Caenorhabditis elegans: one gene and its partner. The protein of the gene in region 1 interacts with the protein of each later gene in a pairwise test. Each region holds a gene or a part of one and is shown in the gene's direction. Other genes may lie near its edges.

Region 1 (9,448 bases):
TAGAAAAATATACATGTCTATTTTTCAGAATGTTTGCCTATGACCGTCTGGCACTCGATCTGGCCGTCTTTAACTTGAAAGATGTTGATTCGGGAAATTCGTCGTCAAGCGAAAGATCATCACCGCCAACACGTATTATGTCACAGGTGAGATTTTTTTTCGTTTGAACTTTACGTTCACTGATCACAAATTGAAAAATTTAAATATATTTTTAAAATTTTTTCGAGATAGCCATATAGTAGTAGTACGTAACAGTTTTCAATTTCAAAAATTTGGTGGAAAGTTTTATTAAATGTAAATGAAGAAAAAAAATGATTATAGAAATATGAAATTTTGATTTAAAAAATCATTTTATTGATGAAAAAAACTTATCAGATAAGCGCTTATAGACCGCAATTTTTTTCAGAAATTAGAGTAATTATTCAATTTTTAGAAAGATTTTTTTGTCAGTGAGAAAATTTTTTCAAGCCACTCCTATAGTGCTCAAATATCATAAGAAAATGTTTAAATTTTTTATAATGTTTTCTTTCAAAAAGTGGTGAAAACTCAGTTTTCAGATAAAATAATTTAAACATAAGAAAACAACTTTTTTTAAATTTTAAAAGTAGAATAAAAATCTATGAAAATTAATTCAATGGTGTAATCCCTTAAGTCTCATCCTCATGCATCAGTTCCACTCTATAATTTCTAAAAGTAAACAAGGAAATGTACATATGTATATCTTTCCCCCGAGGAAAAAAGCAAAAACTGAATGAATATTTTCACTTCCTGATTGAAACATGTGGATCACGAATAATTTGTTTTTTTTTCAGGCTCAAAATATCAATGATGAGTCAGGTAGCAGCGGATATGGTAGTCCGACCCGAACACCTTTAGCGTCACCTTCAAATGATATATTCAGTTGTAAGTTTATTTTTCTTTATCATTGATAAGTTGAAAAAGCGAGAGTAATGCAAATTTTTTTGAACGATACTTTAATATTTTCTGCATTTTGCAGTCGAAAAAAAAACGAAATCCAAAAAATTGTAAAGAGCATTTAAATTTCAACGGAATAACATTTGATTTCAGCTGTGCTTCCGCTTCAAGTCCAACGAGCGTTTTCAGCACAAAGTCCAGAAGAAATCACTCGTCATTTTGGAGTTTCACCGAGTCCGCAGGCTGTGAAGCCTGTTCCAGAAGTTCAACAACAACGTGAACAAGCACAAGTTTCACAGACATCTGCTCAGGGTCTTGCTGCAGTAGATGGATTTTCGATGGCAGAAATTGCTGGTTTTGCAGAACTTTTGTCTTCTCCAAAGAAGGTTGGTGAGGGGATGAAAATTGAGGGAAATTTAGAATATTCTGTAGAAAATTTTAATTTTTGACTTGCAAATATGGAGATTAATATTTTATTTTATCGAAAAAACGTTTCAGACCCCTCCACCACGCTACCAGTGCCACATCTGCTACGCTACAGGACATCATTACATCTCCGACTGTCCACAGCGATTCAACACTCCATATGATGAGCTGACACCTTACCAAGGCAGAAAGAAGTGTTATGGAGAGTTCACTGTAAGTTTTGGAATTTCGATTCCATGTATGACTGTTAATGTTTCAGTGTCAACTGTGTAAACGCAAGTGGAACAGCCAAAACAGTGTTGCAAACGAACCACAAAGTTGTATAAAGTGTCATGTTCCAGTATTTCCACACAAACAAGTAAGTATTGAATTCGAAAGAAAATAGTGTCAGCTAATGAGTTTTCTGAATCTCGTGATAAGGAAAACATCTAGTAAACTTGAAGTGCTCTGCCAACTGTTGAGTGTCCTGATGATTCCATTAAGCTAGTTAAAGCGTAAATTTTAATCTCAATCCGAAGACGTTTGTGCAGTATGTTCGGCATTACCTCTATCGTTTAAAATAAATTTATGGTTAACAAAATTCACACATTAACAAACAGGCCCACCCATATCTTGGCATTTTTTCACTAAACAACCACATACAGTAACCCAAACATGCTAGTTTTGATTAACTGCTTTTCTAATTCAATCATTTATGAAGCGTTGACCAAATATAATATTACAATAATTCACAAATTGTTCACTTTGTTATGTTTTTAGTTACAGTCCAAAGGTGGCATTTACTCAATCTTTAGTTATCCCTAACTTTGAAATTCAACATGTAATTGTTTTTATATTTTAACTATTTGTATTTGAATTCAAATAATGTAAGGTTAAAACCAGCAGTGCTCGTTTCTCTCAAAAAGTAAATGTTTTTTTTTGAAATTTAGGAAATTTACCAAAACTTTAACGGTAAATTCGAAAAAAACTGAACATTTTTTGAAATATTCATGAACGAATGTCTGGTTTTAATTTTCCAAAGCTGAGAAATTACATTTAAAATTCTATAAAAATTATTCAACTTTATTTTTTTTTTTCAGTTGCCCGTAGAAAAAGCAGTGACACTTGGTCTCATCAAGGCTCAAAATGTCACAAAAGTAGCCCCAATTGGACACGGAAGACCTCCAGCACGGAAACACGAAGAGATATCACGTCGTCATTGATTTTATTGACAATGAAACAAAATAACATTCTCTAGTCGATATAGGAACCCATTTGTCCATCCTATTTGTATCATATTGTTTTCTTCACAAAATTTCTGCTAGATTTCTATGAAAATCAGAGAGCTTTCAATTCTTCTCCACTTTTTCTATTTTGTGTGTACATGTCGTTCCTAAACCATTTTCCCTTTCCCATCCCACACTTTCCATGCCGCCCGACCACTTTCTCAACTGTCTCCAGGTACTCTGTAAATTTCTGAATTTATTCATCCTGAAAAACTCTTTCTATATATTTGATGATCACTTTTATTTCTTCTTCATCTCTATACTCTTTGTCTGTGTAAAAATTTTATAATTGTTTTCTTTTCACCATTCACACCCCGGTCTTGTAATAATAAGTGTAGGTTTCAAGAGAGTAATAAAAGTGTATTGAGAATAAAACTTTAATTATATAGAAATCTTAAACACACCCACTTAGAAGTCTTGTTTTTTTTTCTATTTGAAATATATTTGAAATATATTTGAAATATATTTGAAATATTCTTAAAATTTTAAGTGAACCCAGAGAGTAAATTTATTAGTGAACTCAGAGAGTAAATTATTCTGGGAACACATAGATTAAAAAATTCGTTACCCCCCCCCCCCCCTACTATTTTTCGCGAAAATTTCCTCGTTCCCCCGCTTACAATTTTTTTTTCCAAAAAAATTCCTCGTTACCCCCCTTACAGATTTTTTTCAAAAAAAATCCTCGTTACTCTCTTTACGATTTTTTTTCCAAAAAATTCCTCGTTACCCCTTCTAAAATAGTACTGTAACGAAGCACTGTAATATTGGACCTAGAATGGAAACTTTAGAGCTAGTGAACTGCCAGAGTCACTATGTTTGGTGAACTGCCAGAGTCACAATTTTTGGTGAACAACCAGAGTCACTATTTTTAGTGAACTGCCAGAGTCACTATTTTTAGTGAACTGCCAGAGTCACTATTTTTGGTGAACTGCCAGAGTCGCTATGAAATATTGAAAACTGTCATCTTTTTTTTTTTGAAATTCAAAGCAGCGACTTATACACTGTAAAAAATAATATGAAAATTTGAAGAAGTTCTGTCCATTTTAAATTTATTGATAATCTAGACTTGAAATTCTAACCCGCTACAGTAAACCACCACACCTGCACATCATACCTGAAAAAAAGTTTTTTTTTCTGGCGCGCGCGCAGCACAATTTGTATTCTGTTTTTTGTGTGTGGCTCCTTTTTCATTTTCCTAAATTTTTGGCGTTTCAAAACCAATTTATCTATTTTTCCTGATAGTTGCAATTTGCCTATATTTTGTTAAATACTAATTCTTCCTTCATATATTTTTATCTAAAGTTTTGTATAATACTTTTTTTAAGACTAATTTTTTCAGCCGGAGGTCTCGATAAAATGTTGCGAGTTACTACAAGCATTAGAAAAACCACGAAAAATGCCGTTGGGCCAAGAACAAACCTGGAGGAAGTGTTGAATTGTATCGCTATGGCTGAAGACATTTACAACTACCTTGTTCATCACGAGAAGAAATATGTTCTTGACGACAGCTTCATAAATGGAGGAAATGTTAATTCTAAGATGCGCCGCATCCTTGTTGACTGGCTTATCCAAGTTCATCTTCGCTTCCACCTCACCCCTGAGACGCTTCACCTGACGATTTTCGTTCTGGATCGAATTATCGTGAAGAACATTGTCTCCAAGGCGGAATTCCAGCTTCTCGGTGTTGCAGCTTTGTAAGATCGTTTTTTTTGTAAAATTATAGATAATCTTTTGTAGATCAGAAAATTAACAATAGTTTTTATGCAATATTAATGATTTCAGGTTCGTTGCCTCCAAATTCGAAGATATTTACTTGCCAGACATCCTCGAATACGAGATGATCACTGATAACACATTCAGCAAGAAGCAGATAATGGCTATGGAACAGACCATCCTCAACGCCTTGAACTTTGACTTGTCCTGCCCATCTTCGCTTGTCTTCCTCCGCTGTATTTCAAAAACTCTCACAGAGAATGACGTCAATCCAATCGATAAGGAAGCGTTCTATTATGTGCACAATATCTCCAAGTGTCTCGGAGAACTCGCATTGCTCGATTCGGTCATGTCTACGGTTCCAAGGTCGCACGTTGCCAGTGCTTCGATGATCATCACTCTCAATGTTATCACCGTTGATGGAATTAATCCGAAGACTGCTGCATCGATGATTCGGTAGATTCAATTTTTTTCGAAAATTTTACAAGAATTTGTTTCAGCAAACAATTAGGAGCCTCCAAGCAAGATATTTATGATGCTATCGCTCTGCTCGCTCAAGTCGCATATAAAAACTTCAGACATCAGAAGCTTTGCGCCATTAGAGTAATATATTTTTACAAAATGTTTACTCAGTTTTGTTTTCAGGAAAAGTACCAGTCGAGCAAGTTTGGACGAGTATCCTACTTGATGACCGACGAAATCTTGGAGAAAATTCACCGGATGGGGCGCAACGTTGAGGCTTCAGAAGCTGAAACATCAGAAATGGAATGAGAACTATACTTCATCACCCAATACGTTCCTGTGTTCTGCTTGTTTCCCCATTGCACTTACCTTCGGCTTATATTCATGTACTTTTTCTGTTCCATTTCCCCAATCTTCGAAATCTCTAACACATCGTATCAAATCTTTTTCGCACCTTCTTTTGTATCTATCTCATACTAACTTATTTAGTCTTCACTCCTGTCCAAATCTGATATTTTAACTAGAATGAGCAAAAACTTGCTGATGAAATCTATGTGCTATTAAATAATGTTAAATGAAATAAGCATAAATCTTGTACTAAATTGTAGAAATTTACAACATTATTAAAACAACCAGATACAAGCTAATCTTGCATTAAATAGTTTATTTGCCTTTTTCTAAAAAATTAAAAAATTGGGAAAGTAATATTTTTTGAACAGCGCGCGTTTTCAAAACCGACGGCCACATTAAAAGCCTCTTCCATGCTTCGTGTAATCCGCGAGGACTATCATCATATTTATTTTTAGCACCTGGTGCGTTCCATTTTTTTCCTGAAAATTCGAGTGCTTGCGCAGATTTAAAAAATTTTTACTTAAAAGATGTCTTCATTTTTAAACGCTGAATTTTTATGTGCTTGGTAGTTTTCAAAAAACTAATAAAACTATTCAGCGTTTCTTAAAATCATATCAAGTTCAAAATTTCACTGACTGAGAGTTCCGATCAATAAGTTTTATAAACATCTCATTTTATTTCCTCCTCATAAATAAGTATTAATTAATAATTATTTTGAGTACATTTTCAGGTATCAATGGTGGAGGCACCGGGGACTTTTGTAGAGGTGAATGACACTCGAGTAATTATTGGAAAAGGACTGTCACTCGATTCAATTAAATTCCCTGATTTCCACATGTTCGACACAAACTGGAAAATGAAATTGCATGCCGAATGGAGCGAAGAACTTGGAACCGACGTAGTTTCGATCAAGCTTCGGCACCGGAGGAGAAATGTTGATGATATCTGGAGTATGGATGCAACAGTCAAAATTCATTTTGAACAAGACTGGCTGAAAGGCGAGGTACAAGTAGATTCCCAATTTTCGAATCAAGGTCAAGAAATTGAGATTCCCAACTGTGGAACGGTTGTGGGCAAATTAAATTCTTCAGAAATCCATCTCTGTGTTCACATATTTATGCAGGTAATTTTGAATGCATTTTCAAATTCATCTACGTTTTGTGAAAGTGTTCCAGATAAATCAGTCAAAAGGAATTCAACTTCGGAACTACATCGACTTCGCACGACCAATCCCCATTTTTTCAGACACTATAGTTCTGGTGGATGGCGTTAAATTCCATGTAAATCGAATGGTAAATTTGAACAACATTAAAATGAAATTCCAATACTATTATTTTAAAGATTCTCTCAATGGCTTCGCCTATCTTCTTGGAAGCATTTGTCACTAATTTCGATGAAAGATCCTTGGAGTTGTGCAATATCTCTGCGCCGGATTTTCGTCGAATTCTTAACATTATCTATCCACCTCATCTGCCTCCAAAGCAGTGGATCAAAGGTTTTTTGAATTAAAAATGTTGAATAAACCAGTTTTTTTCTAGAGAGTGATTTGGTTGAGCAATTCGAACACATTCAACGGATTCTTCGAATTGGAAAATCACTTCAAATTTCAATCGTGTTGGAAGTTGCTGACAAATGGCTGGTTAAATACGGGCGGCACAAATTAGGAGACACACTTCACTTGGCACAAGCGTTCGGGCTACGGGAGTTGATGGTGAGTGTTTTTTTTTTAATTTATTATCAGGTGATGAATTGAAACAATTTCAGGGCTCCAAACTTGCCAAGATGCGATCTTTAGAAGAAATAAAGAAATGCCAAGACCAAATTCAAGTATTAAGTTGCAAGACGAAAGCCCTGATTCTGGACCGCATTCTAAGCACTCTGTAGACCTGCACACGTTATTCATAATTCTAATCACGTCATTATTTTTTTAAAAGAAGCTTCTATCAGCTTTATATCGCAAAGATCCTCACCAAACAATCTGTCATATTTTTACCATGCTTACTGTACCATTGTTATTCACATCGTTTTAATAATGAAATTTGTTCTATTTTCATTACAGAAAGTTAGAATTGCAACATATGTAGTTCAAAATGTTCAGAAGAGACAGCTGACAAGTTCTTGTGTGTTCGAAAGTGTGCAATTAATGCAGTGTAATTTGAGTGCTCGAGTAGATTCATTCAATGATAAGACATGAACTTTGTTAAATTTCAATTTCGCGGTTTGTCTCCAATTTCGAATTTTATTCGAAATAATATTAGTTGCTGTATTATTATTTCATCTCAAAAATAAAAAAAATGTGTATATATTTAATCCTCTAGAATAAAATTTAAAATGCTTATCAATTGATGAATATTATTGTTTATTGTCTACCAATTTCTATATTACACATAGTTTCCCGCCTGCGCGATAGATCCTCCGTTGAGATCTCATAAGAGCTCATTTGCCTTTGAGAACAAACATTCTGATCTTTTCACTCTCTCAATCTCTCAATTTCTTTTCCTTTTTCTATTCGATTTGTATAACAATACCCTAATCCATCGAATATTAAATTTCAAAGAAATGTGCCGAAATCTTTTCGTGAAACCTGTTATAGTCTCTATAGAAATTTTAAATTTCAAAATTTGTGTCAGAATTGTGTCAACTTCTCAAAGAGTTCTCGAAAGTATGTCTTTCCATTTTGAAATCTTTTTCTTCTTTCTATCTCTAACTCTATTCTACTTTCATTATCTCTGGGTTTTCTTACCAATTTGTCATCGGTAATACAATTAAATCCTCCTTCTTCACTCTTTTACAAGAAGAAGGGAGGTATGGAAGATGGATGAGCTTCACGAAATAGAGCAACTCGCAACATATATGGACTTTTTTCTCTTTGAATATTTTCATTTTCATCGGAGTTCTTTCTTCTATTGTTGTAGGCCTGAATATGGTTTGAAATTTGAAGTTATTATTTTCTGTTCCAATGATAGATTCAAAAACTTCAGAAAGTTTTTTTGGATATTTGCAGTGCACCATATTATCATTTTTTCAAAAGAATAAACTACCAAATACCTTCGAAGTTCTTATAGAATAGAATGTAGAATATAAGTTTGGGAAAATTCATGCTGGAGCCCTCGTTTTTAAAAAACAGTGGAAAATAATTTTGGTAGATCTATACAACTAATTACAAGTTGTTTTAACTTGTAAATGCTTTATCATTTCATAGATGGCAGAAATATCGCCTAACTTTGAAATATTAGGTACTTGGTATAAATCTTTTAAAAAAAGTCTATATTCTCAGCATTCCTGCCAAACTTTAACAACTTCATGCCAAATTTTGGCAACTTCTTGCCACACATTTGTAATTTTCTGACAATTTTTTTCTGTTGAGAAGCTCACCTAATAGCTAACTGCTATGGACTTGTCAACTGATTTGAAAATATTTTTATAAATTAAACAGTTGTTGCGAGAAAATATAGTTGAAAATTTGGTAGCCCGTTTTCAGTGTATTTTTTAACTTCAAATAATAGATATTTTCTTTCTAGGTGAATATTGCATTTTTCATAGTTTTCGGTTCAAGAAAGCTTTCTGCGTATGAAACGATTTTAATTGACTTCATCTGTTGTGTTCAACATGCTAATTTCATATTCTCTGTATCTTCTTCTCCCTCTTACCCATTTGACCTCCCGTGCAATTTCTTATTATGCTCATATGCCGAAAGTATCTTTTAATTAATCTTCTTCCTACTACTTTCTTGAAAGTCCACTTACACTTTCAAGCGTTTCCTTTCATATTTTCACTTCTTCCATCTTCACACTGTTTAGCTAAATCAAAATTGTATCAACTTTCAGATCAAATTCGAAGTTCAAAAGAATGTGAAAATCAAATAAAATGACACTAAAGTCTCCGAGTTGTCTCATTTTTCTCCTTTTATTCTTATTTTCTTCAACTGTGAACTCTCAAAAATTAGCTGTAGTGGTGATTGATGGACTAGCTGCAAACACATTTTATAAATTTTCCCACTTATCAGTTTTTCGGACTTTTGAAGAAGAAGGAGTTTGGTCGACAAAAGTGTTCCCGGTTTTTCCAACTTTTTCGATATCCAATAGGCATTCTTTGTTAACCGGTTTGTTTTTTTCTTTTATTTGTACAGAAATTGAAAATCTAATAATCTACCGCACGAATTGATTTGGTTGGATCACGCTTCCAGGAATATGTTTATGGCACTTGAAAGTTTTTAATAAACCGATTTTTTAAAGAAATATTTCGACATTTTCAGTACTAGATTATTTTAATAACAGTAATAGGAAAACGGCAGCCGCAAAATACCCCAGTCCTGC
Region 2 (11,434 bases), on another chromosome or scaffold:
AATATGGCTCGGTGAGCTGGAAATAGTGGGTGAAGGAGTGGAGAGGCAGAAACAAAGAGAGACGAAAAAGAAGAGGTGCACTACGGCTCCCATGCAAAACTAGCATCTTTTCGTTTTTTTTTTTTGGTTTTCTTGTCGGTTGGTGTAATTGATGTGATGGATTACACTTGAGAAGCCCAAGGAAGGAAGTACCAAAAAAGGGCAAACATTTTTTTACAAGGAATCTTTTTTTTGGTCTATAGTCCCCTTATAAGGACTTTTTAGAGGAGGAGGTGTAGGTTTCTTCCCTAGAAACAGAAAGCAGTCCAACATATTGAATATAACTTTTTAAATAATTTATAGAATTCTCCTGAATTTTTAAAAAAATAACTTTTTCAATTGTTCGAACATAACAAAAATGGACAGGCCGCCAAAGTCCTAGGAGATTGATTGCACAAAGCCGCAAGCTTTTCGTACGAAATAGTGCTCCAGAAATGGTTCCATTCTAGTTATTAAATCAAAACTTTGGTCTATTGTCCTCTCCATATGTTTTTCTCTAATTTGAGTATACAATATACCCTGTTTTGTGTGCATTGAGCCTGTGCATAAGACGAACGATACGAACGGCCCCTCTCCTCCTTACATTCTTATACACAGTCTCAATTCACACAAAACATGTGGTTCAAAGAATATATCCTTATGTAAGTAGCAAACGCAAGCGTAGGAGCACGTATTGATCGATTTATAGACAGTCACAATGCACACAAAACAGATGATTTAGAGGATAGCTGCTACTGGAACGCAAAAATACGATGTGCTTTAAAATAAGAGCTCTCATCAACCCATAACGTCGGCTCTCATTTTTGTTTTTTATAGCTGATTGCACCTTATTAAACAATTTGAAGATGAAAGGCACTACTCGGAAAAGTTTCAAATTGCAATTTCTTCCATTTCTGTGTTTCAAAAAAGTTATGAAAACCTGAATAAACCCCTCTTTTTTGAAAGTCCGCGCATTGTGTTCTCAATGGAGCGCACTACCATTATTTTCGTTTAAGCAAAAATTTTCAAATTTCGAAGGGTTTTCGTCGTGTAAAACGATTTTTTTTTCTGTTTCATGTAGTTTTTAAAACTTTATTTTCCTTTAAAAAAATATTTTTAGCACAATGACAGACTTGTTCGCTTCGGGGGACAATTCTTCCAACTCCTTCGACGACTCTAACGATGAAATCGCGCGCAAAAATGAAACCGCTTTCAAATACACTACAATTTGTGAGTTTAACACTCGATGCGAAAGGAAAACTATTTTAAAAATATATAATTTGCAGTTCACACAAATCTCTCAGAAAAACTGTACCACGAATTATGTGCATTGGCTTTCGGAGAGTTCGATATTCCTCAAGGGCAAATCTCGCCACTTATGTGGACCAGACTTCATGAGGTTTGATTCACTTGAAAAAGGCCTCTGATAAATGTAATATTTTTTCAGATCTATTCAGAAGTAGAAATGCAGACTCGAAAACTTCCTGCAGGATCTAATTATTCCGCCAGTTCACAAAAATACGCGAATGAAGCCGTGCAAATCGCCAGTGTTCTTTCAATTTATACCGCGTTGGCTCATGAATATGATGAGACTGTGGAAGTTTCTTTGCTTAGCAAACTAGTTGTAGAAGATGTGGAGTTTAGAAGGATTTATGTAAGATCTTAGACTTTTTATTCAATTAAACACATAATTTCTAATTTTTTAGGCTCTTCTTCTTTGGAGTGAGAAAGCGATCAGCGAACAGCAATATGAAAAAGGTCTTGGAGACAAAGTTCGGAAACTCGAAGGAATCAAATCTTCTAGAATCAATTCAATGATGGCTTTGAAACGACCAACATTTGGAGCAGCCAATGCTCCAAAAGATGCTTCACTGGATCCAGATGCTCCTGGTACCAAAGAAGATCAAGCTCTCGAGCAAATGGCGATGAACGTTTTCTTCCAATTAATTCGAAGTGGAGAAACTTCCAAAGCTGCGAATTTAGCCATTGATCTAGGAATGGGAGCGATCGGAGCTCAACTTCAGCTTCACTCGATGCTCCGGAACCCACTTGATATTCCACTAGAGGCATCTAAACAGAACTTTGGGGAATATAAAAGATCTCGACGCGCAAAGTACTACCAGATGACACAGAAATTGATAGAACAATCGCAGGGGAGCGAAGATGATGCTTACTGGATGCTGATTTCTGCGATTCGTGGGAATATCCAACCAATGCTAAAAGCTGGAAAGTCAGTGATTGAAAAAGTATGGGCATATGCAAATTCTGCAGTTCTCGCAAGAATTCTTGCCGCCGAGGGAGCCATGACACAGGAAACTATTTCGACGTTGTTCAACGTTCCACTAACTTCAAAATCAATCTTAGATGAGCTGAGATCAGAGGCTGATCGTACCAAAGAAGTATACATCCTACTCCGAGTGATCGATGACATGCTCAATGATGACATTGAAGATCTGTACAAGTTCGCAAATGAAACAGTCGGAGAATTTGTTCCAAATGATAAAAATTGTCAAGTGAACATGCTCGCACTCGACATCTTCTTCCACCTCGTCGCAGTTTCTTATGCGAGTGGTTTCGAACCAAATGACGATGGAAATGCTGTAATTATTCTTGGATTCGATGATCTTCGTGCACGCAGTGGAACCTCATCACACAAGAAAATGGCTGCATTTTATTCAAGATTCCTCCCAGAAGATATGAAGCTTCCAGAGATTGTGGAGACTATGAAAGGTAATTTAAAAACTGATGATGATTTTTAAAAAAATTCTCTTTTCAGCTGTCGATTCTGATGAAGAACGTGAAATCCTGGCTGAGTCGCTGAAACAATCTGACATTGATTTCGGACGCTGTGCGTGCACACTTATTGAGCAAATCAGAAAAGATGACAAAACGAAGGTTGTAACTTTGGAAGAGCAGATTGATCACTGGCATTGGCTTTTGATAGGTGGAGAAGAGACTGCACTGGCTGCTCTTGAAGAATGTAATCGACTAGTTCGTAAAGTGATGCTGTCGACACCGATTGACGAGTCTGTAATTAGGCAAATTATTCGAAAAGCGCTTCATTTCGAAGTTCCTAAGCTATTGTCACAAGCTGTTGAAAATGAAGCAACTGTACTTTCACTGATCACTGATGGAACCCTGTTTGAGCAAAAACCTGGATCGCAGCTGGCAATTAATAAAATCGAACACGCGGCTCTGGAATTTTATGGGCTCTGCTCTTTCGTGGTATGATTTCTTATCCAAATCAGCGGAATCTTTAACCACTGGTTAAAATTACAGTAATCTTTAAAGGTGCAAACCGTCTCGTATTGAACAAAAATTTGTCGTGTCGAGACCCCGTACTCAAAATTTCGCTGCTGAATAATATTCAATTTCATATTGGCCATTTTAAAATCCGAATTTTCAGGATGTGAACAACTTCATGATCACTATTGCTCTGAAACTTGGGCTCATGTTCAAGTACACACCGATCACTGATGATGAGCTTTCCATGATCGGAGGAGTCAAACGACTCGACAACACCACAGCTGCTGACTGGGAAGCTTCACTGAGAGTCCGAGCTCGTGCTGAGCAAACTCTGCGGGAAGAGGTGCTCAAAAAGAGAGCCGCCGAGCATAATACGCGAGTTGGAATGGTTCAACAACATTTAGATGTAGGATTTTTAGAATAAATTGTTGTGAAAAAAATTTTAAAAAATTGAAATTTCAGACTGTTCTTCCGATGCTCCGTGGGCTGGTTAACAATATTGGTGTGCGCCCGGAGTACTTTTTGAGCCCACGTGCTAATGGAGATCCAATGCGTGTACACCGGAAAGAAATTCAGGAGATTCGGAATCTCTTCCTCCCGCAATTCTTCATCCTTCTTGCACAAGCCGCCGTGAGACTCGACGATACCACAAATTTCAACGATTTCTTCACAAGCTTCAATAATGACCTCGGGCTCGATCAGGAATGGATGGTTTTCATCAAAGCTTTCTACGCAGAACTCAATCTCAAAGTCGAATAATTTTTATTTCATTGTTTTTTTGTTTGATACCTGTTTTGATTACCATTTTTTATCACTATATTTCTGACTTCTTTCTCATTTTTTTTAAATTTCCGGTCGATCTTTCACAGACACGATTGTATCCGTGCAGTATTTGAAAATAACAAATTTTTCTGATTTCTGTGGGTTTCACGTGAAGATCTTCTTCAAGAAGAGGTCATCAGATTGCGGAAGATCTATATTACCGATCTGACGCAAGACTACCATGTATATTTGGAAAGGAAAAATTTTCTGTGCAGAGGTTGATGGTTTAAATTTTGATTTAGATATTTTCTTCATTTAATTTGAAAATTTCCATGCCTGAAAATATCCTCAGTGAGGATTCTCACCTACCGTATACTTAAAGGCGCACACCTGTCTCAACCGGAGCGTTGCGAGACCCGCGGCATCAAACTACACACTGTGTTTTGATGATCTTTCGATCGTTCTCGAAAAAAGAAAGAGCAGAGTTCATTAAAACAAATGGCGGCAAAATGTCTATAAAGGCGAGTCGTTCTCTTCATTATCTTTTGATTTTCGATGTGTTCTCCTTATTGTTTTGTTCGTTGACCCCTTATCTGCATTCTCACCGCTACGCAACGTATATTTAACGTCAGCTTTTTCGCAGAAAATTTTTCTATATTCTCATGCAAATTTACTGTTCTCAATGCTGGACGTGTCGCTTGTGCTTTGATCTCAAATCTAACATTTTCCCTTCAAATATTTTATATCTGCAACGGTGGGGCAGAAATTTAAAAGTTGACCTTTGTCAGCCAACTGCTATCAGTTATCAGTTGGCCGGAGATCTTTCTATTTTCACTTTCTTGCAACGTATTCAGACATTTTTTGATGAATCGGTTCACAGAATTTTCGTCCTGATGTTGGTCAGTGATGCGCCAGCCGGAAATTAGAACCGTATGCCGTTATCAATTTTTCAAAGGCTAAAAAGTTATGAGGTGTATTTATTGTTTTAACACCTGACCTGCTAGTAGGAAGGAAATTAATTTTATGTTTAAATTGAAATGAAAGAGTCGAGCTCCACGTGTCGTCTCCCTAGTTTCTCTATTCCTCTTCTTCTCCGCCTATCTCTCGGCTTCTCTCCTTTCGCGCTCCTCTCACAATTCCTCCTAATCGTGCTGTTTTTGGGGTGGTCCAACACGGCAAAAAAGGCAGCAAAAAGTGTCTGCCGTCTCGTGCCTCTTTCTTATTGAAAGGGCACGAGAGAATAGTATCAAGAGGCTCCTCGTTCGGGCCGTTGAAGATGGTATCTGGTGCTTCGGCGGAGACGGGAGGAGCGGCCGTTTCTCGGGTCATCACAGCCCATTCCTTCTAATGTTTACACTGAACTTGTCGCAATCCCTCCTCTAAATCTCATTCATCCATTCATTCATATTCGTGTTATGTGTTCGCTTTTACATAATTTCCATTTTCACCACGTTTCTCCTCAAATTTGCATTATTTAAATCTCTGCCTTTTCATAAACATTTATAATTTTCAGGGTATCACCTATACTAACCATCCAAAATGTGCGGAATTTTCGCCTACCTCAACTTCCTGACACCGAAAAAACGATCGGAAATCGTGGATATTTTAGTCCAAGGATTGCAAAGAATGGAATACAGAGGCTACGACTCTGCAGGAATCGCCATCGACGGATCCAATGAGATCGAATCACCACATTCTTCGGTAGCACTTCTGCGAAAAGCTGGAAAGGTGTCCGTGCTCAGCGATTTCATCAAGGAGAGCTCCAGCGATCTTGACATGGATATGGAGTACAACATTCACTGCGGAATTGCACACACTCGCTGGGCAACTCACGGATCTCCACGTGATGTCAATTCCCATCCACATCGCAGTAACGACAAGAATGAGTTCCTCGTTGTTCACAATGGAATCATTACGAATTATCGTGAAATCAAGGAGTATCTCGAGAAGAAGGGACACAAGTTTGAGTCGGAGACCGACACGGAAGTCATCGCGAAGCTTGCGCAACACATTCACGATCGTTACCCGGATTTCTCGTTCCGGCAACTTGTGGAGACTGTCATTCAACAGTTGGAAGGAGCTTTCGCTCTTGCATTCAAGTCATCTCGATTCCCAGGACAACTCGTTGCTTCAAGACGTGGATCCCCATTGTTGGTCGGTATCAAGAGCAACTCCAGACTCCAGACAAATCACTTCCCAGTCTCTTTCTCTAAAGGTTAGTTCTTGAAACTTTTGGTGCAATTTCTAAGTCGTTTCGAGGCGGACATTCAAAAATTTCATACATTTTAGATGCTGGGTGGAAATGGGGAGACGAAAAACAAACTGATGGTAAATTTAAAAATGCTATTCCCTGGGTTTATTTTGGTTGCCTGAAATGCTTAATCACTGCTTAACTAACCTAACCTTGCATGATCTTTAAAAAAATCTATTTTATTAACAATCAATATGATTTTTCAGGACGTCGGTTCATGTCCAACCACGCTACTCATTGTAAGTTTACCATTTTCCAACCTTCTTCTGATATTAAATTCAATTTTTCAGTGCGAGATGAGACATCGTTCGTCGAGACTCCAAACAACATTCTGGACCTGTCAATCGGTATGGGTTCCCACTTTCATATGAATTTTTAATAGCATATTAGGTTCCCAAGATGTTTGCAACTTGCCGGTGAATGTAGATGATTCCCAGAGAAGATTGTCAGCGTTTATGAATTCTCTGAACGGTAGAAATTTGAAGCATGATTATTCTTGAACTCTTTCTCCACTTCTAAATCCTTGGGCGAATTAACTAACTCATCTCAATATCCCCAATCTCAAATTTTAAGTGAAACGTATTAATTCCATTTTTTCAGCCGTTCGTTCGTCTAATGGATCTGCTAAGATGGAGATCTCCGACAGCACGACGGCCGTCCGTCCATTCGACTCCGACGATTGGGAGGTTGAATACTTCGTCGCTTCGGATGCTGCTGCCATCATTGAGCATACCAAGCAAGTCCTTTTCCTAGAGGATGATGACGTTGCATTCGTCGAGGATGGAGCTCTGACTATCCATCGCATCTCTCGACACGCTGACAATGGAGAGCAAAAGAGAGAAGTAAAGCTTCTCGAGATGGAGCTTCAGGAGATCATGAAGGTTTGCATAGGAAAATGGGAATAACTTGAATAAAAACATATTTTTCAGGGATCTTTCAAAACGTACATGCAGAAGGAGATTTTCGAGCAACCGGATTCGGTAGTCAACACAATGCGTGGACGTGTTCTTCCATCGGGACAAGTCGTTCTAGGAGGAATCAAAGAGTACCTTCCTGATATCAAGCGTTGCCGCCGTCTGATTATGGTAGCCTGTGGAACATCCTATCACTCTGCCATCGCATGCCGTCAGATCCTTGAAGAACTTTCTGAGCTGCCAGTCGTCGTCGAACTTGCTTCTGACTTCTTGGATCGTGAAACCCCAATCTTCCGTGATGATGTATGTCTCTTCATTTCTCAAAGTGGAGAGACTGCCGATACGTTGTTGGCTCTCAGATACTGCAAGCCACGTGGAGCTCTCACAATTGGAGTCACCAACACTGTCGGATCATCCATTTGCCGTGAATCTCATTGCGGAATTCACATCAACGCCGGACCGGAAATTGGAGTCGCCTCTACCAAGGCCTACACTTCTCAGATCCTATCCTTGCTTATGTTTGCTCTCACCCTCTCCGATGACCGAATCTCCATGGCTAAGAGACGTGAAGAGATCATTGACGCTCTCAACGATCTTCCAGAACTTATCCGCGAAGTTCTCCAACTCGACGAGAAAGTTCTTGATATCGCCAAACAAATCTACAAGGAGAAATCACTTCTCATCATGGGAAGAGGATTGAACTTTGCCACATGCCTCGAAGGAGCTCTCAAGATCAAGGAGCTTTCCTACATGCATTGCGAAGGAATCATGTCTGGAGAACTGAAGCACGGTCCACTTGCCATGGTCGATGAGTTCCTCAGCATCTGCATGGTTGTTTGTAACGATCGCGTATACAAGGTAAGAATGAGCTGAATTGTTTTTTGATTGAAATCATTTTTTCAGAAATCGTTGAATGCACTTCAACAAGTCGTTGCTCGCAAAGGAGCTCCAATCATCATTGCCGACTGCACCGTTCCAGAAGGCGATCTCGCTGGAATGAAGCATATTCTTCGTGTACCAAAAACTGTTGATTGTGTCCAAAACATTCTCACAGTCATTCCACTCCAGCTACTCTCATATCACATTGCTGAGCTCAATGGAGCTAATGTAAGTTTACAATCGTCTTAATCTTGAAATGTACACGTATAATCTATTTTCAGGTCGACCGACCCCGCAACTTGGCCAAGTCAGTTACCGTCGAGTAAAGCGTCCCGTCTTCTGCCCAAACCACCCCAAGTGCCTTCTCACCATCTCGTCTTTTCTCCCACTCTGTGATTATATTTCCCTCACCAATTGCCTTCCCTAATTTATTGCATGTAATCTGGTATACCCAGCGATTCGACCAATAAAATGTGGTTTCCGGTATGCAGTGCATACTATGCACTTGTTGAGCATTGAGAAAACTGGGAACACCTCTAGTATGCTGGGATCGAAGAAGTTTCAACTTTTCATAAGCAAAATTCAAACTTGTAGGCTGAGTAAAAGTAAATATAAATAAAACTGAATGTTTACCTCTTTTCCGGTGCAGATCTGCTTTTCGTAGATACCTACGGAAGTTTAGTTGGTGCAGTGAAGTGTGCACTAATTCTGAATCTCGGAGGGAGCTCACCCGCCAACAAGTCATTATATTAGTTTAGCGTTTTTCAATTTTCTAGGACACCTCCTATTTATATAAATACTATTATAATTATTGCGGATGCGGTACGGAAAAGTCTACTTTTATGATCGTATGGGAAATCGAGAGCCGAGTGAAGCTGATAAGATAAGAGGTTTGAATCATGTGAAGTGAATATAGATAGAAATTATGTTTCTGGGTCCTGGAACAAACAAAAGAAATGGTGTTATTTTCTTGAAAAGACGTGTGCGCCTTTAAGCGGAGTACGGTAGTTGTTTCCTCTAATTTTCTTAATTGATTGCTCCCTTTTTGATATTGACCAAAAAATTTCAAAATACAAATAAACCAACAGCAAAAAACCTATAAAAATAGAAGAAAGTTGCGAAATCGATTTTTTAAACTACCGTAATCAGTTAAAGGCGCACACCCCCCCCCTCCGGCATTGGTTTTAGATTAGAAAAAAACATTTTTTGCGGAATTGGAATTTCTTAATTACAAAACTTATTTGTCTATATTAAATCAACAAATATGTGAAATTTGAAACACTACTATATCTGCGATCGTGGCGGGACCCATTTGGAAAAGCAGCGTGGGCCTTTAAAATTAAATGTCGAATCTTTTACGAAACTATAATTAAACGATGAATTCAGAAGCACTGGATAACTTTGAAGCTCCACGATTCCGTCCACCAGATGAGCCGAGAATGATGAAGAATTATACAACACAATGTAGAATTAAGAAAATCAGATTTCACAACAAATAATTAATTTTCAGTTTCACCTTTAGACACACCACCACCAATGAATGGAACCCCACCAATTGCCGGGATGCATCATTATTTGACAGATCCGGATCCCAGTCGAGAAATGATGGATCTTCCGGCGAATATCTCGAATTTTGGAAGAGATGATGCGAGTTTAGGTGAGATTACTGTAGGTTTCTTCATCAGGGTTACTGTAGGTTTCTTCATAATGCGGAAATTGTGTGCCTTTAAGAGTACTGTAATTTCAAAGTTTTCATAGTTTTTCTTACGATTTATTAAAAGTTTATGTGTTTTCATTGTAACTTATAAGTTTTCCTTTTTTAACATTTTTTAATTCGACTAGCAAATCTCCGATTTGCCAGGTTAGCAACAAATCTCAATATTTCAAAAAAAAAAAGATTAATATTTTCTCCTGTATTTTTTCTAGCATTTCCAGTTCTTCCCGCCAATCTTATGGGTGGTGCTGACACTTCCTTACCCAACATTGATCGTTATAAAATGGATCTTCCATCGGAAATCTATCCGAACGATCCAATGCCACGTGGAATATCTACACCTCCAATGAACATGAAATTCAATTTGGGAGAGAATATTGGGAGAGACGTGGATAGAGGTGTAATGAATGGATTCGGAGCAGAGCGACAATATCAGGATCCTATGATTGAGATTGAACAAAACCTGGGGAATATTCGATTCGAAAGTGGTAATGAGGTACGATTACCAAATTTGCCAACGACGAGAAGTTCACTAAAAAACCAAAAATTTGTTTTCAGAAAATCAAAGCAACAATTACAAAATTTGATGAAGACTATTACGGTAATGAAATCTGTGCTCAGTGTCAAGCCGAGGATGCATATATGGATCGAATGAGACGTCAAGCAGAAGAGGAACGGAGAAAATATGAAGAAACTATGAAGAGAGCAAAGATGTATGAAGATTTGACAAGGGAAAAGGAAGAAACTTTTAAAAGGGTTAGTTATGACCTATTGTGGGAGTTATTTTCAATAATTAATTTCTCTACAATAAATTTTTTTAATTTCAGGAAGAAGCGGAACGGAATAAAGCTCTTCGAGATCATGTCGATCGTGTGAATGCTGAAATGATTGAGATGAAAAAGAGAAGACCTAAATCCCCAGTAGTACGCAATCTGTTCACTTTAATGTTCTTTCTCAGAGTCAGTTGTATATATTTTCAGCTGGAAAACTATATATTCCGACACGAATCTCCTAGAAGTCGAGATGTTGAAGTGCGTACACGGAAGGATGCATACCGAGCAGAACTCGATAGACAAGTCGAAGAGAAACGATTGAGACGGATTGCCGAATTTGAGAAAAATGAGGCGATTGATGCGACGAGCAATGCGAGAGCCGCGCTGGAGTAAGTTGTTTACTTTTGTTTTTAGTATTTTGATCCAAGATTCATACAGAGAAATCTAAAATTTAATGTCGCACACAAATTTCAAAAACCGTTTTGTTTTGAAAGCGGCAAGAACTGAAAAGGCACTAGGTAGGCTTCTTCCTCTAGACCACCTTCATGCCTAGTTCAAGCCTTATATGCCTATCCCACGCCTACCTCATTTGTAGAACATGCCTACCTTGCCTAAGTGTTCTCTAAGACCGGTCCCTCACAATGCTCCTGCCAAATGTTTATCTCATGCCTACCTGATTGCCTACCTCTTGCCTAGTTGTTGCCTATCTCACGCCGGCTACAGTGATTGTCGAATTCAAACCTACATATTCCATATCTATATATATATATTTCATATCTATCCTACCCATTCCATTTCTCACGCCTGCCTACGAGCCTGCCTATAGGCCTCATGTCTATCTGCCTTTGTGCTTATCACATGCGTATATTTTGCCTGC

Evidence for each region.
Region 2: the proteins of cyb-2.1 (region 1) and gfat-1 interact in a two-hybrid assay, tested with the Caenorhabditis elegans proteins (one large-scale study listed by BioGRID).

What each region holds. Positions count from the first base shown.
Region 1 is NC_003282.8:10,982,040-10,991,487, forward strand, and holds cyb-2.1 (G2/mitotic-specific cyclin-B), read left to right. Parts: upstream 1-3,945; 5' UTR 3,946-3,962; coding exon 3,963-4,300; intron 4,301-4,388; coding exon 4,389-4,775; intron 4,776-4,819; coding exon 4,820-4,922; intron 4,923-4,964; coding exon 4,965-5,090; 3' UTR 5,091-5,387; downstream 5,388-9,448. Other genes in the region: Y43E12A.2 (3CxxC-type domain-containing protein), read left to right, coding at 30-146, 813-903, 1,069-1,301, 1,414-1,554, 1,601-1,699, 2,421-2,543; Y43E12A.3 (BTB domain-containing protein), read left to right, coding at 5,869-6,255, 6,308-6,424, 6,474-6,627, 6,671-6,843, 6,897-7,016; F13H10.5 (glycerophosphocholine cholinephosphodiesterase), read left to right, coding at 9,000-9,234.
Region 2 is NC_003280.10:11,589,514-11,600,947, reverse strand, and holds gfat-1 (glutamine--fructose-6-phosphate transaminase (isomerizing)), read left to right. Parts: upstream 1-5,538; 5' UTR 5,539-5,565; coding exon 5,566-6,241; intron 6,242-6,315; coding exon 6,316-6,354; intron 6,355-6,483; coding exon 6,484-6,516; intron 6,517-6,567; coding exon 6,568-6,624; intron 6,625-6,877; coding exon 6,878-7,158; intron 7,159-7,206; coding exon 7,207-8,049; intron 8,050-8,094; coding exon 8,095-8,298; intron 8,299-8,351; coding exon 8,352-8,396; 3' UTR 8,397-8,555; downstream 8,556-11,434. Other genes in the region: npp-5 (Nuclear pore complex protein 5), read left to right, coding at 1,143-1,248, 1,305-1,417, 1,466-1,672, 1,725-2,748, 2,795-3,243, 3,425-3,670, 3,727-4,023; F07A11.1 (uncharacterized protein), read left to right, coding at 8,888-8,960, 9,457-9,534, 9,581-9,727, 10,006-10,280, 10,343-10,540, 10,612-10,707, 10,765-10,946.